Cricetulus griseus: one gene and its partner. The protein of the gene in region 2 interacts with the protein of the main gene of each other region in a pairwise test. Links are inferred from orthologs where the notes say so. Each region holds a gene or a part of one and is shown on either strand. Other genes may lie near its edges.

Region 1 (6,284 bases), on a different chromosome or scaffold from region 2:
TAAAGAGGGATAATACAAGAGTCGCCTATAAATACTGCTTCTTCTGGGTATACTGAAAGCAAACAAAGGGAGCTGCCCAATATGATGATGATAGGATAATGCTACTGTAAAGTTGGAGAAAACACAGCACCAAGAAACTGGGGGGGGGGGGGCTTGCTAGCTACTTGAAGACCAAACAACTGAGGTCTCTCAGATCAGACTGTTTCTGGATCATGATGCGAGCCCACTAGTTTGCCATATATACATACACATGTTCTCATGGGAGAAAACTGAGTTCACTACACTGAAGTCACTTTATGACTCAGGGCAAATTACCAGCCCTTTCCATAAAATGGCTCAGAGAGGGGCTGGAGAGATGGTTGAGTGGTTTAATGGAAAAGCACATTTACTTGAGAACACTAATAAAAAGGTGGTTTAGAGCAGTGGTTCTCAACCTTCCTATCGATCCAACCCTTTAATACAGTTCCTCACATTATGGTGACCCCCAACCATAAAATTATTTTTGTTGCTACTTCGTAACTTCGATTTTACTACTTTTATGAATCATAATGTAAATACCTATGTTTTCTGATGGTCTTAGGTGACCCCTGTGAATGGGTTATTAGGAGAACCACTGGTTTAGATGGGTTAGTAGTGGAAAAGAACACTCATTGCTTTTCCAGAGCTCCCATATCTAGTGGCTCAAAACTGCCCATAATTCTAGTTCTAGACAAACCTGACTCTGTCTTCTAGCCTACACACATTTGATACACTCAGACAGATGTACACATAAGTTTTAAAAAAATCTTTTAAAAAATGTTTTAGAGAGCTTGTGCAACACAGTAGTTCAGGCAGGTAAGCTTAAATTTAAATACACACACTCACTCACGTTTTTTTGAGACAGGATTTCTCAGTGTAACAGCCTTGGCTGTTCTGGAATTCACTGTGTAGGCCACACTGGCCTTGAACTCACAGAGATCCACCATCTCTGCCTCCTGAATGCTAGGACTAAAGGAGTGTGCCACCACTGCCTGGCCAAATTTTTTTTTCTGAGACAGGATTCTCTGTGTAGCTTTGGAGCCTGTCCTGGCACTAGATCTGTAGACCAGGTTGGCCTTGAATTCACAGAGATCAGCCTGCCTCTGCCTCCCAAGTGCTGGGATTAAAGGCATGCACCACCAACGCCTGGCTCTGGCCAAATTTTTTAAATATTTACTTTTCAAATTGTTTATGTGTATGAGTGTTTTGCCTGCCTGTATGTTTTCACACCACTTTCGAGTTTGGTGCCCATGGAGGCCAGGTGGTGGCATCATATTCCCCTAGAACTGGAGTTACAGACAGTTGTGAATGGCCATGCGGATGCTGGGAATGAAACCCAGGTCCTGTGGAAAAATAGTCAGTATTCTTACAACTGAGCTGCCTCTCCAGCCCCAAGATTTATTTATAATTTATACGCATGGGCATTCTGCCCACATGTATGTCTGTGCATGGAGTTCCTACAGAGGCCAGCAAATGACATCCAATCCCCTGGAACTGAGTTACAAATGGTTGTGAGATGTCATGTGGGTACTGGGACTCAAACCCATTATCCTCTGGAATAGCAGCCAGTGTTCTTAACCACCGAGCCTTCTCTCTGGCTCCCTTAAGCTTAATTTTTTTAATGGGCCACTTTTAAATGCCCATCCATTTTATTACTGTATGTGTAAGACGGTTGTGTGAATGTGTGCACATGTCACAAGCACAGTATGAAAAATAAGAGGACAGCTTTTGTAAGTTGATTCTCTCTTTCCACTTTGGGTTCCAGGGCTTGATCTCAGCCATCGGGCCTACACAGCAAACTCTTTTACCTGCTGAGCCCTTTCACCAGCCCTAAATGTAAGCTTTTAAAGTGCCTGAAATGCAAGCAAGCATTACTTATGCAGCACCACAATCTGCAACTACACATGTTTGTTTACTTGTCTCTTATTTGCCCTCCCCGTCAGGGCTAAGAAAGACAAGGTCACTGTGCCCTCCACATCCAATTTATATACTATTGGAGTGGAACTGGTCACAGATCTGTCAGCACATACCTAGACGGCAAGTCCAGAAAGTAATTCTGATTATGAAGATAGTAAAATGAGACAATGGGACAGAACTCCAGGAGGAAATACCCGGGCAGAAGGCAAACCAGATGCAAAAGTCCTAAGATGTGTGTTTCTCTTCAAACACCCAAAGTTCTAAGAGCTTGTTGTATTTGAAGAGAAAGTAGGTGAGTGAAGAGGTTTGGAAAGCTTAGAGGGGTGGAGGCCAAGGTCAAAGAGATTAGCTTGTAAGGTGTTGTGGGAAGGACTTTTCGGGTTTTATTTGGTGTGAAACGGGGGAATCAATGGGAAGCAGAAGCGCTGACTTGCACTGCAGAATTCTCCGGAGGTTCTAAGGCCTTTGAGAAGCCAGCATAGAAGGAAGGTGACAAGTCAAGAGACCAAGAGGGGGAACGATGCTGGTGTGGCCAGTATGGAAACCACAGAGGTGGGGATGGGCAGCTATATTCCTGGCGCTCTGTGCACACGGGAGGTGGGGAAAAGAATCTAACATTGTTTCTTGGGAGCTGGTGCAAGGAAGGTGCCATTTACTACACTAGGGAAGTCAGGGAGAAGCCATAGAAAGGCAGTGCTTCAGAGCTCCATTTTGACAAGTTTAATTTGTTGGATTCCAAGAGTATTGTTCAAAAGAGAGGAAGAAAGTGGGAGAAGAGAGAACCAAGTGCTCTTGTTTGAAATACAAGGCCCCTGGGAGACAGTGTAGCTGCTGCAGGGGCAGGGCCCTGATACATGGAAGATGAAGTACCTGGCCTGCCTAGTGACCTCAGCCCCGTGTTATCTGCTGCGAACTACCAAATGCTACATTCCTGTGGAGAGCTACAGATGGAAGGTCGGGAGGTGAGGGAGGTAAGATTAGGGTCTGTTGGGCCTTCAAGTGATGGAAAAGAATAGCTCTGTGGCGGACAGGCTGATGAAACCTCCCCCCTTCTTGCCCAGATCACCTAGAAAGATGAGATGACAGAGTCAAATTAGCGTTTTTTTCTTCGGTCCAGCCACAGCACTGAATGTACAGATGCCGGTATGTAGCCCCACCAAAAGCTAAGAAAGTTCACAGTTGTTCATTTCTTTAAGGTTCATTGTTACCAAGGGCATCCTAAGTTTCTTCAGTTAGTCCTTTGACACAATCATGAGCAAGAAGGAAGTGACACTATGCTACACTACTGACAGTGTGGGATTTGAACCCAGACTTCTTTTGCCCCCGTGGACTAACAGAGCATAGAGGCCCCTGCAGCAGGAGAGCCACAAAGTCTGTCTTTACGCCAAGGTCGCTCACTGCCTGTGGGTGGGACTACAGGGTGAGAAGATGCAGCATTTAGGCTCTTGGAAAACATAAAAATCTCTCAGACACAGCTCGCGTTAATGCCGCTCTCAGCCCTCACTGACATTGGCTTGAGTTCTGAGATCAAGGCCGAATGCCCTTAAAGTTTTTGAAGCTTCACAGTATCCAAAGAACTTTTTTTTTTTTTTTTTTTGCTTTCCTTTGTTTTCCTCCTTTTCCTCAAACTTCTTTCCCATCTCAGAGAAAAGGAGATAGATGGCAAGGGTGTCTCGGACACAGCAAAGCTTCTGATCGGGTCACGGAAAGAAATATCGACACTCCCGAGGGACAGGTCTCCTGACCTCAAACTAGATTAACTGGCAGGACCCAGGTCTCCAAGTGCAGGGAGGCTGTTTTGAACAGGTGTCGCTACCCACAGCTGTCACACCCAGGATCGGGCGGCAGTCCGGACTGACAGACCTACTCTGTGAAGCGACTGCCACAGGTCGTTGCGCGCGGTCAGGCCTCGCGGGAGTCACCGGGGCCAGGGAGAGGCAGGAGGCACTCCGCGGTTTTTCCTATCCAGCCCGGGCAAACGCTCTGCACCACCTACCTGCTCGCTAAGGGTGCTGGATGCGGCTCGAGGAACTCCCAGGGTTCGGAATCCGTGTGGGACCGGCCGCACCCTCCCATAATCAGGTCAGGAGCCTCCCCGACCCCGCGTGCCCAGGCCCCGGCGATCCTGCGGACTCCGAGACGCACTGGGCTCCGTCCAAGGCCCCCTCCCTGAAGGGCGTTGGGGAGCACGGAGTCCTGAGAACCCACTCCCAGGCTGCGAACTTACCAAGAGGAAACCAGAGTAGGCAACAGGTTGACCTGCAAGCGACCGTGCAGAACCCTCCCAGATGAAGAGGGCGGGGCGGGCGGCGGGGCGAGCAGCGCGGCCATTGGCCAAGGAGTAAGGAGGAGGGAGGAGCGGAACCGGAATCTCGGTCATTGGCTGGGCCGGGCCTGGACGGGATGGGTCGGAAGCATGGCAAGAAGGACGTGGACCGAGGAGAGCCGATCGTGGGGCCATTGGATGAGCCCCGAGTTTCGTGAGCCTCTGGTCTAGCTGCTAGTGCTCGGTAGGCCTTGTTTGGGGGCAGTTCTGGTTCCCTGCAGAGACATGAAGGAGCAGATTGTTTTCTCGCTGCTTGGTCTGGAGCAGTTTCCAGAGGAAGTCCAGAAGCCCTGAAAACTGGCCTTCTTGGACTCCCAAGCAACTCAAGCAAAGCAGCTCTTTTAGCCAACTGCTGGAGGGGAGAGGGTCTATAGTGCCCGGCAAGAAGTGCTCCATAAAGGTGGGGTGTCAGGCAAATGCCACAGGGGTGTGAATGCCTAGCCAGGCGACACGAGCAGACACAGTGGGAATATGGTGCAGCAAAACTTGGAAGTATGCACCCATGTCTGGCGGTAATTCCATGTCTGGAATTACAGGGTGACCTACACCTCTGATCTCCACTGGCACCTGTATTCACTGTACACACACCAAGGCAATTAAAACTAAGATTAAAATCTCCTTTTAAACCACATCCACTAGAAAAGTTCTAGTGGTTTGATTATGAAACCAATTCAAGTGTCCGTCAGTAAAATAAATGGGCAGACTGTGATTAGTACACAGCAGTAAAAGATCACGTAACAGGAATAAGATCTCACCATACTGGACTAGGTGGCATTGCTAAATAGGTGCTCTGCTAACGGAGACAAAATGCTTTCTGCTTCCAGTCAAATGTTTCAACAAGAAGTAAAAAGCTAATGTACTAAAAAAGAAATCATATTAGTTACCTCAGCACGCCTAGAGGGTAGAAATGTCCTAGAGCCTGATGTAGGTGGTGAGTACACAGCTTGAATATATGTAAAAATGTATCAATCAGCAAGGGCTGGTGAGATGGCTTAGCAGGTAAAGTCACTTGCTGCCAAGCTTGAGGATCTTTGTGTGGTTCCTTTAATTTACACGAGGGAAGGATAGTCGATTCCCAAAAGCATTGGTATCTACCTCCCCCCATAAATATAAAACATGAAATATTTTGAAAAATGCATCAATGATATACTTAATGTTATACTTTCCTATCTAGCACAGTTTTTTTTTTTTTTTTTTTTTTTTTTTAGAGAAGGCTAAGGGATTCCGTGGAGATCACTGAGGTTAGAACTGCTGCCAAACAGAATTAGTTATGTGACAGAGATTCTGGAACTCTTTGAGATTGTATTACTGTTGGTCTTAGGGTTCCTAGTGCTGTGAAGAGACATTATGATCACGGCAATTTAACTGAGGGCTGGCTCACAGTTCAGAGGTTTAGTTCAGCATGGCAGGAAACATGGCAGAGTGCAGGCAGACATGGTGCTGGAGAGAGAGGCTGAGAGTTCTTTCTACATCTGGATCTTTGGGCAGCTGAAAGGGAGAGTGAGCCACTTGGCCTAGGCTGAGCTTCTGAAACCCAAAGCCCATCACTGGTGACACACTTTCTTCAGCAGGGCCACACCTCCTAATAGTGGCACTCCCAGTGAGCCTATGGGGGCCATTTTCATTCAAGTCACCACACTGTTCTTGGTAGTTGTGTAGATAGTTCACAACTTTCAGGGTGTACAAATCACACATAAGTTTGATCCCTGGGACAACATGGTGGAAGAACTCCTGAAAACTGTCTTCTGATCTCCACAATTATCTGTCCCCCTGACTGCAAAACAAATTTGAAAATGTCAAAAGCAATTTTTTTAAGTAAGTATTGGTGATTTAGTCTTGCTGCAAACCACCATGACTCTTATTTAATGCTTGCAAAAAGAGCATCAGGCCTGTGGGGACTGGCTTTCTAAATGTGGTTATAGTTAGCCCTGTCCTTGCTGGGCTTCGAAGGGCATTGAAACAATCCGGCTTCCTGACCTGCCTGGTTCCCAATCACCTGTCAACAGCTCTTTAAATTCTAGAA
Region 2 (5,688 bases):
CCCTATTTTCTTTTCTTTTCAGGTTACTGTGGACTTCATGAGGCCATTGAAAATTGGGATTTCCAAAAAATTGAAAAGTTAGAGGAACACAGATTACTTTTACGACGTCTACAGCCAGAATTTAAGGCCAGAATTAACCCAACAGATATTCTTTCTGAAATGTCTGAATGCTTAATTAATCAGGAATGTGAAGAAATCAGACAGGTAAATTAACGCAAAGGACTAAATTTAGAGAAAAATGCTGAGACTCTTGGAAATGGTCTCTGTATTCTGTATTGTTTTTAGGCCCTCAAAGGGTAATTGAAACCCATCAAAGCCCTCATTTAGAAGACATAATGACTAGAAAAGAATTTTTAATGTGAACGGGGTCATTTTTTTATAAATTTATTTTTTACATTCCAATCCCATTTCCCCTCTCCTCCCACTTCCCCCACTCCCCTCTCCCACCATCTGCTCTACAGAGAGGGTAAGGCTTCCAAATGTGGTCATTTTTATGCTAGACTTTTGAAGTATAACCTATTTTCAGTTAAAGTTGCCCTGTTACTTTTTCTCTCAATAGTGTTTTATGTACATGCAAATCACATTGAACAGTACAACAAACGAAAAGAACATTGCTAGGCTCTTGGACATAGATACATTTATTATAGTCTCTAAATCACTGAACTAGTGATGCGATCCTGGGCAATTCATTTAGCTTCTCTAAGGATCTGGTTTTTCATGTCTAAAGTAAGAAAAATGAACCTTATTAACATGCTGGTAGGCTTAAATGAGGTAATACAGATACAGTGCTTATTGTCAGCTTGATGCATGATAATACATACACAGTACATTTTAGTTATCATTAGAAATAAAAGTCATAGAATACCCACTCTGAAAAAATCTACTGTTGTGCTGTTAGAGTCTTCATAATCGCTCTGTATGCTAATATATCCTTATTGTGAATGGTTATCATATGGGTTAGCTTTTGCCCTGGGATTGCTGATGGTAACAGATGTAAGGATTCAGATGAGAACATTTAGCTTGGCATATTGATATCGCATATAACATATAAAGGACAAAGGTGAAGGAAAGAATATCTTAAATGCTAGTGCTAGGCAGGGTAAACATGATGCTAAGACCTACTGAACTATATACTTCACAGTGATTTTGATCAGATGCTACTTGAGTAGACATTTCTTCGGTGAAAGCTGAGCTAATTGGTCAATATGCTGCATTTGTCTCACTCAGATCTGCTTCACAAAAGGCATGATGGCAGGCGCAGAGAAGATGGTTGAATGTCTTCTCAGATCTGATAAAGAGAACTGGCCCAAGGTTTTGAAATTTGCTTTGGAGAAAGAAGACAACAAGTTCAGTGAACTGTGGATTGTCGATGAAGGTGAGCTGCTTCAAGAAAGAGCCCTGGACCACGCTGTGCCCCTCACCATTCACCATGGGACTTGCCACATTCACCCAGAGATTACTTTTCATGAAAGACTCTATTCCCTTCAGATAACCAAGGCTGGGTCCTTAGGGAACAAGTACCAGGAAGCTGAGTTCTGGGAGGGAATTAGCCTACACAGCCCAAAGATTCTGGGGAAGAAAAAAAAAAAAAAGAGCTTCCAGCCCAAACTTAAGTTATCAGAGAAATAGCTTGAGAATTCCAGACCTAAAGGCTCAAATTGCCAGACTTCTCTCCCTGCCAGAGTAGAGGTTGGATATTGAGAATGATAGATGTTGATTGGTTCTCTTGCCTGGAAGCCAGCTGGAACCAACAGAGCAGGAGTGAATGAAAATTCCCTGTGATTAAGCCAATCTTATTTGGCTTCTGGAAACTCACTCTTGCTTTAAATCTGAGTATGACAAATACCTGAGTTTCTAGCTTTAGTTTTCACCTAGGTTTCTTTAGAACATAAATTCTTGTAGAACTGTCTATGTCTTTGGCGAGGGATTAGCCAGAGACAAAAGCCATGAGTGTCTCTTTTGTGTGCCTAGGAAAGAATCTCTTTCTGAGTGTGATTGACACGAGCTACCAAGAGGGGAGGGGCTCACGATGCATACTGCTCATAAGTGACACATTCCACACTTGGAGTCACATGGTTCTAAATGACACTGGCATTCAAACACCAAGTTGAACTTCAAACTAAAAATGATTCTTCCCGTTACTTTAAGAAATTAAAGGGGGACAGTGAGATGGCTCAGCAGATGAAGGCTCCTCCCTGTCATGGAACCTGAAGACCTGAGTTCAACCTCTAGGACCTACAGGATACAGAGAACCAGTTTCCAAAAATTGTCTTCTGCCCTCCATACTCTCCTTGTGTCATGAGTGACACACACAATAAATTAGCTAATAAACAAAAGAATTTAAACAAAATGTTAAGAAAGTGAAAGGGCATGGTTGTAAGCACTCAATGGAAATTTAGATTTTTAGTGTTAGGACTTTTGGGGATTTTCATAACTAAATCCACAGTCAGATTACATTAAGATTCTAAGGTTTTTTTTTTATCTCACAAAGGTTTCAAAGGGCTTGAAAGTAAAGCTGTTGAAGATGATGGAATGGAGATATCCAGCATACAGATTTTCATACAGGAGGAGCCAGAATGCCAGGTTCTCAGTCAGAATCCCTGCCTACCATCAGGTACCCGGGCCTCATTTGTTCTCAGAATCCTTGCCTGGGCATCACTTGTTCTTTTTCCATAATGGCCTTTTTTTGTTGTTATTGTTATTGTTATTGTCCCCCCCCCCCAGACGGGGTTTCTCTATGGCTTTGGAGGCTGTCCTGGAACTAGCTCTTGTAGACCAGGCTGGTCTCGAACTCCCAGAGATCCACCTGCCTCTGCCTCCTGAGTGCTGGGATTAAAGGTGTGTGCCACCAACGCCCGGCTCTTTTCCATAATGTTCTATCTCCAGCACTAAAGTCCTTTTAACGGATGATTAGGAAACAAAAGAGAATTTGTGTGACAATAGACTTCATAATTAGAATCACTGTTCCTTCCTATCTTTGTTAGCCTCAGCTGCTTTTATCTGCCTTTCACTCATGCACATGTATGTCCAAGTCTTGCTCTGATGTAGTGTTCCCAGAACTTCACTGTCTGTAACATCCCAAGCAACCTTGTTGTCTAAAAGAATACTTCTGTTTATGAGCCATTTGCTCGGTCTCCTTCCAGGATCCCAGGGCTGCCACACAAGTGGATGAGTGGGTTGTGCGCTCTCTCTGCTAGCCTCTGTGTGGAGGGTTCAAATCAACTTGTTCTCATATTCATGGTTCTGTGAAAGTTAGCTATGGCTGGACGAGGCCCCTCTCTAATGCTCCTTGAAATACATCTTCATCATGAAGAGACCAGAAGGTTGTAAGATATACAATAACGTATTTATAACAAAATGTATCAGGAAGGAAATAAGATGAATAATGAATAGTGTTAAAAGAACAACGTAATTTTTTAGAACATCATTTAAAAAAAGATGCCTTACAAATATATGAAATGAATGTCGCAAGGTTTCTGCCATTCCAGAGTGACGCAGTACTAATGTTTCAGACACACAGTGATCCATACACATCTTAAGCAAAGCTATTTTGTCTCAACCTTCTGGAAGTTCTCTTTCTTTACAGTGGGAAGATTAGACAATGAGGTGATTGCAGTCTGCTCTGTCTCTTGACCTTTTGTATGCTGACCTGTTACTGACACGACGCCTCAGATCCTAGATGGGTTGTGCTGAGCCATCTGGGATCCTGAGGAACATACAGCATGGCTCCTCCTTGCTAAAGTTGCTTGGAGAACCTGATGCCAGCAGCCTGGTTCTTTTCAGTTGTCTTTGGTGTCTGTTCTTACTTTGTTCTGAGTAACTTTGCTTTGAATTAAACCATACTTTTTTGTTTTAAGATTTTATTTGTTTATTTATTTATTTATTTATTTATTTATTTTGTATACAGCCATCTGCCTGCATGCCAACAGAAGGCACTAGATCTCATTCAAGGTGGTTGTGAGCCACCATGTGGTTGCTGGGAATTGAACTCAGGACCTCTGGAAGAACAGTCAGTGCTCTTAACCGCTGAGCCATCTCTCCAGCCCCGAATTAAACCATTCTTACTTTCCTTTTTTCTTAATCAAGTTTCTATGATTAAGAAAGAATTCACTTTGGCCGTTCCTGTATCCTTGTTATAGATACTTTATCACTGAGAGACAAGTGTGTGCTTCAAATCAAGGGGGGGGGAATGGGACAAATAATAACAGGCAAGATTCCAAATCTCCTAAATGGGGCCCTTGTTGCTAGAGACAGAACTCATGTCCACCCAACTGCAGTTAGCACACTAGCCATTTGGTAACTTTGTTCCTTCTATATTGTAGACGAATCTTGTAATAATTTGCACAGCTCATTGAAACCAAGGAATTATCAACTGGAGCTTGCTCTGCCTGCACAGAAAGGGAAAAATACCATAATATGTGCTCCTACTGGTGAGTCGGTTACCGTAACTTATAAAATTTTCTCTTTTCTTCTATTTTTGGTTACTGTGATAAAATGAAGAAGTTCAAGTTTTTTTCCCTCTTGCATTTGCCACTGGGTGAGCTGTCCTATCAATATAATGTGTCATTTTAAGGAACATGGACAATGAAAGAGAAATGCCCTCTTAGTTTGCCTTTGGTTCTTACTACTTGAGTTCATGCTACCTAGGAAGTAGCTTGATAGTTTTTAGCCATTGTTTAAACTGTTGCTGTCTTTATTTGTATCCCAGTGGTGATAGAGAAGCCAAAAATAAATACATACTAGAGAAACATCTAACATTGGTTACCTGTTCTTTTTCCTTCCATATTACAAGGTTGTGGGAAAACCTTTGTGTCACTTCTTATATGTGAACATCATCTTAGAAGCTTCCCACATGGACAAAAGGGGAAAGTGGTCTTTTTTGCTAATCAAATTCCTGTCTACGAACAGCAGGAAACTGTGTTCTCACGCCATTTTGAAAGACTTGGGTATGTATTACAATCAGTCTAACTGCTTTTTTCTTTTTTTAATTCTAGCTTTTTGTTTGTTTGTTTGTTTTTGTTTTTTGAGACAGGGTTTCTCTGTGTAGCTTTGGAGGCTGTCCTGGAACTAGCTCTTGTAAACCAGGCTGGCCTTGAACTCACAGAGATCCACCTGCCTCTGCCTCCAGAGTGCTGGGATTAAAGGTATGCTCCACCAATGCCTGGCTAATTCTACCTTTTTTTTTGCTTTGCTTTTTTTTTTTTTTTCTTTTCTGAGACAAGATTTCATGTAGCCAGAGCCATCTTCCAACTCACTGTGTAGCTGAGGTTGACCTAGAAGATATGAACTTCTTGCTTTTACATTCTAAATGCTGGGATCACTTTTATTTTATGTGCATTAGTGTTTTGCCTCATGTGTGTCTGTGTGCGAGTGTCAGATACCCTGGAACTGGAGTGACAGGTGGTTGTGAACTATAATGTGGGTGCTGGGAATTTAACCCAGGTCTTCTGAAAGAGTGACCAGTGCTCTTAACCACTGCACCATCTCTCCAGCCCCTGTTCTGTGTTTTTAAAAGCTATGATTCAAAGAAATTACTAATGACTTAGCTGTTAGAGGTAACTCTTTTGTGGAATAACTTGTTTTGTTTTGCTCCTCCCATGGATTGCTGGATAGAGTGAATGACTTGGTGGCTGAAGTTAACACTTAGATGATACACACTGGTTATTATTAATGATTTTGTATTTCATC

What was found. The genes of interacting proteins can lie anywhere in the genome.
Region 1: the proteins of Ddx58 (region 2) and Mavs interact in binary tests that used the Homo sapiens proteins (3 or more experiments, as listed by UniProt). The link is inferred for Cricetulus griseus from reciprocal best matches to the Homo sapiens genes RIGI and MAVS.

Annotation. Positions count from the first base shown.
Region 1 is NC_048599.1:47,336,411-47,342,694, forward strand, and holds the start of Mavs (mitochondrial antiviral-signaling protein), read right to left. Parts: upstream 4,304-6,284; 5' UTR 4,163-4,303; intron 4,120-4,162; exon of another isoform or gene 3,932-4,119; intron 1-3,931.
Region 2 is NC_048595.1:102,329,834-102,335,521, forward strand, and holds part of Ddx58 (antiviral innate immune response receptor RIG-I), read left to right. Parts: intron 1-22; coding exon 23-204; intron 205-620; exon of another isoform or gene 621-721; intron 722-1,227; coding exon 1,228-1,375; intron 1,376-2,491; coding exon 2,492-2,614; intron 2,615-4,322; coding exon 4,323-4,430; intron 4,431-4,792; coding exon 4,793-4,946; intron 4,947-5,688.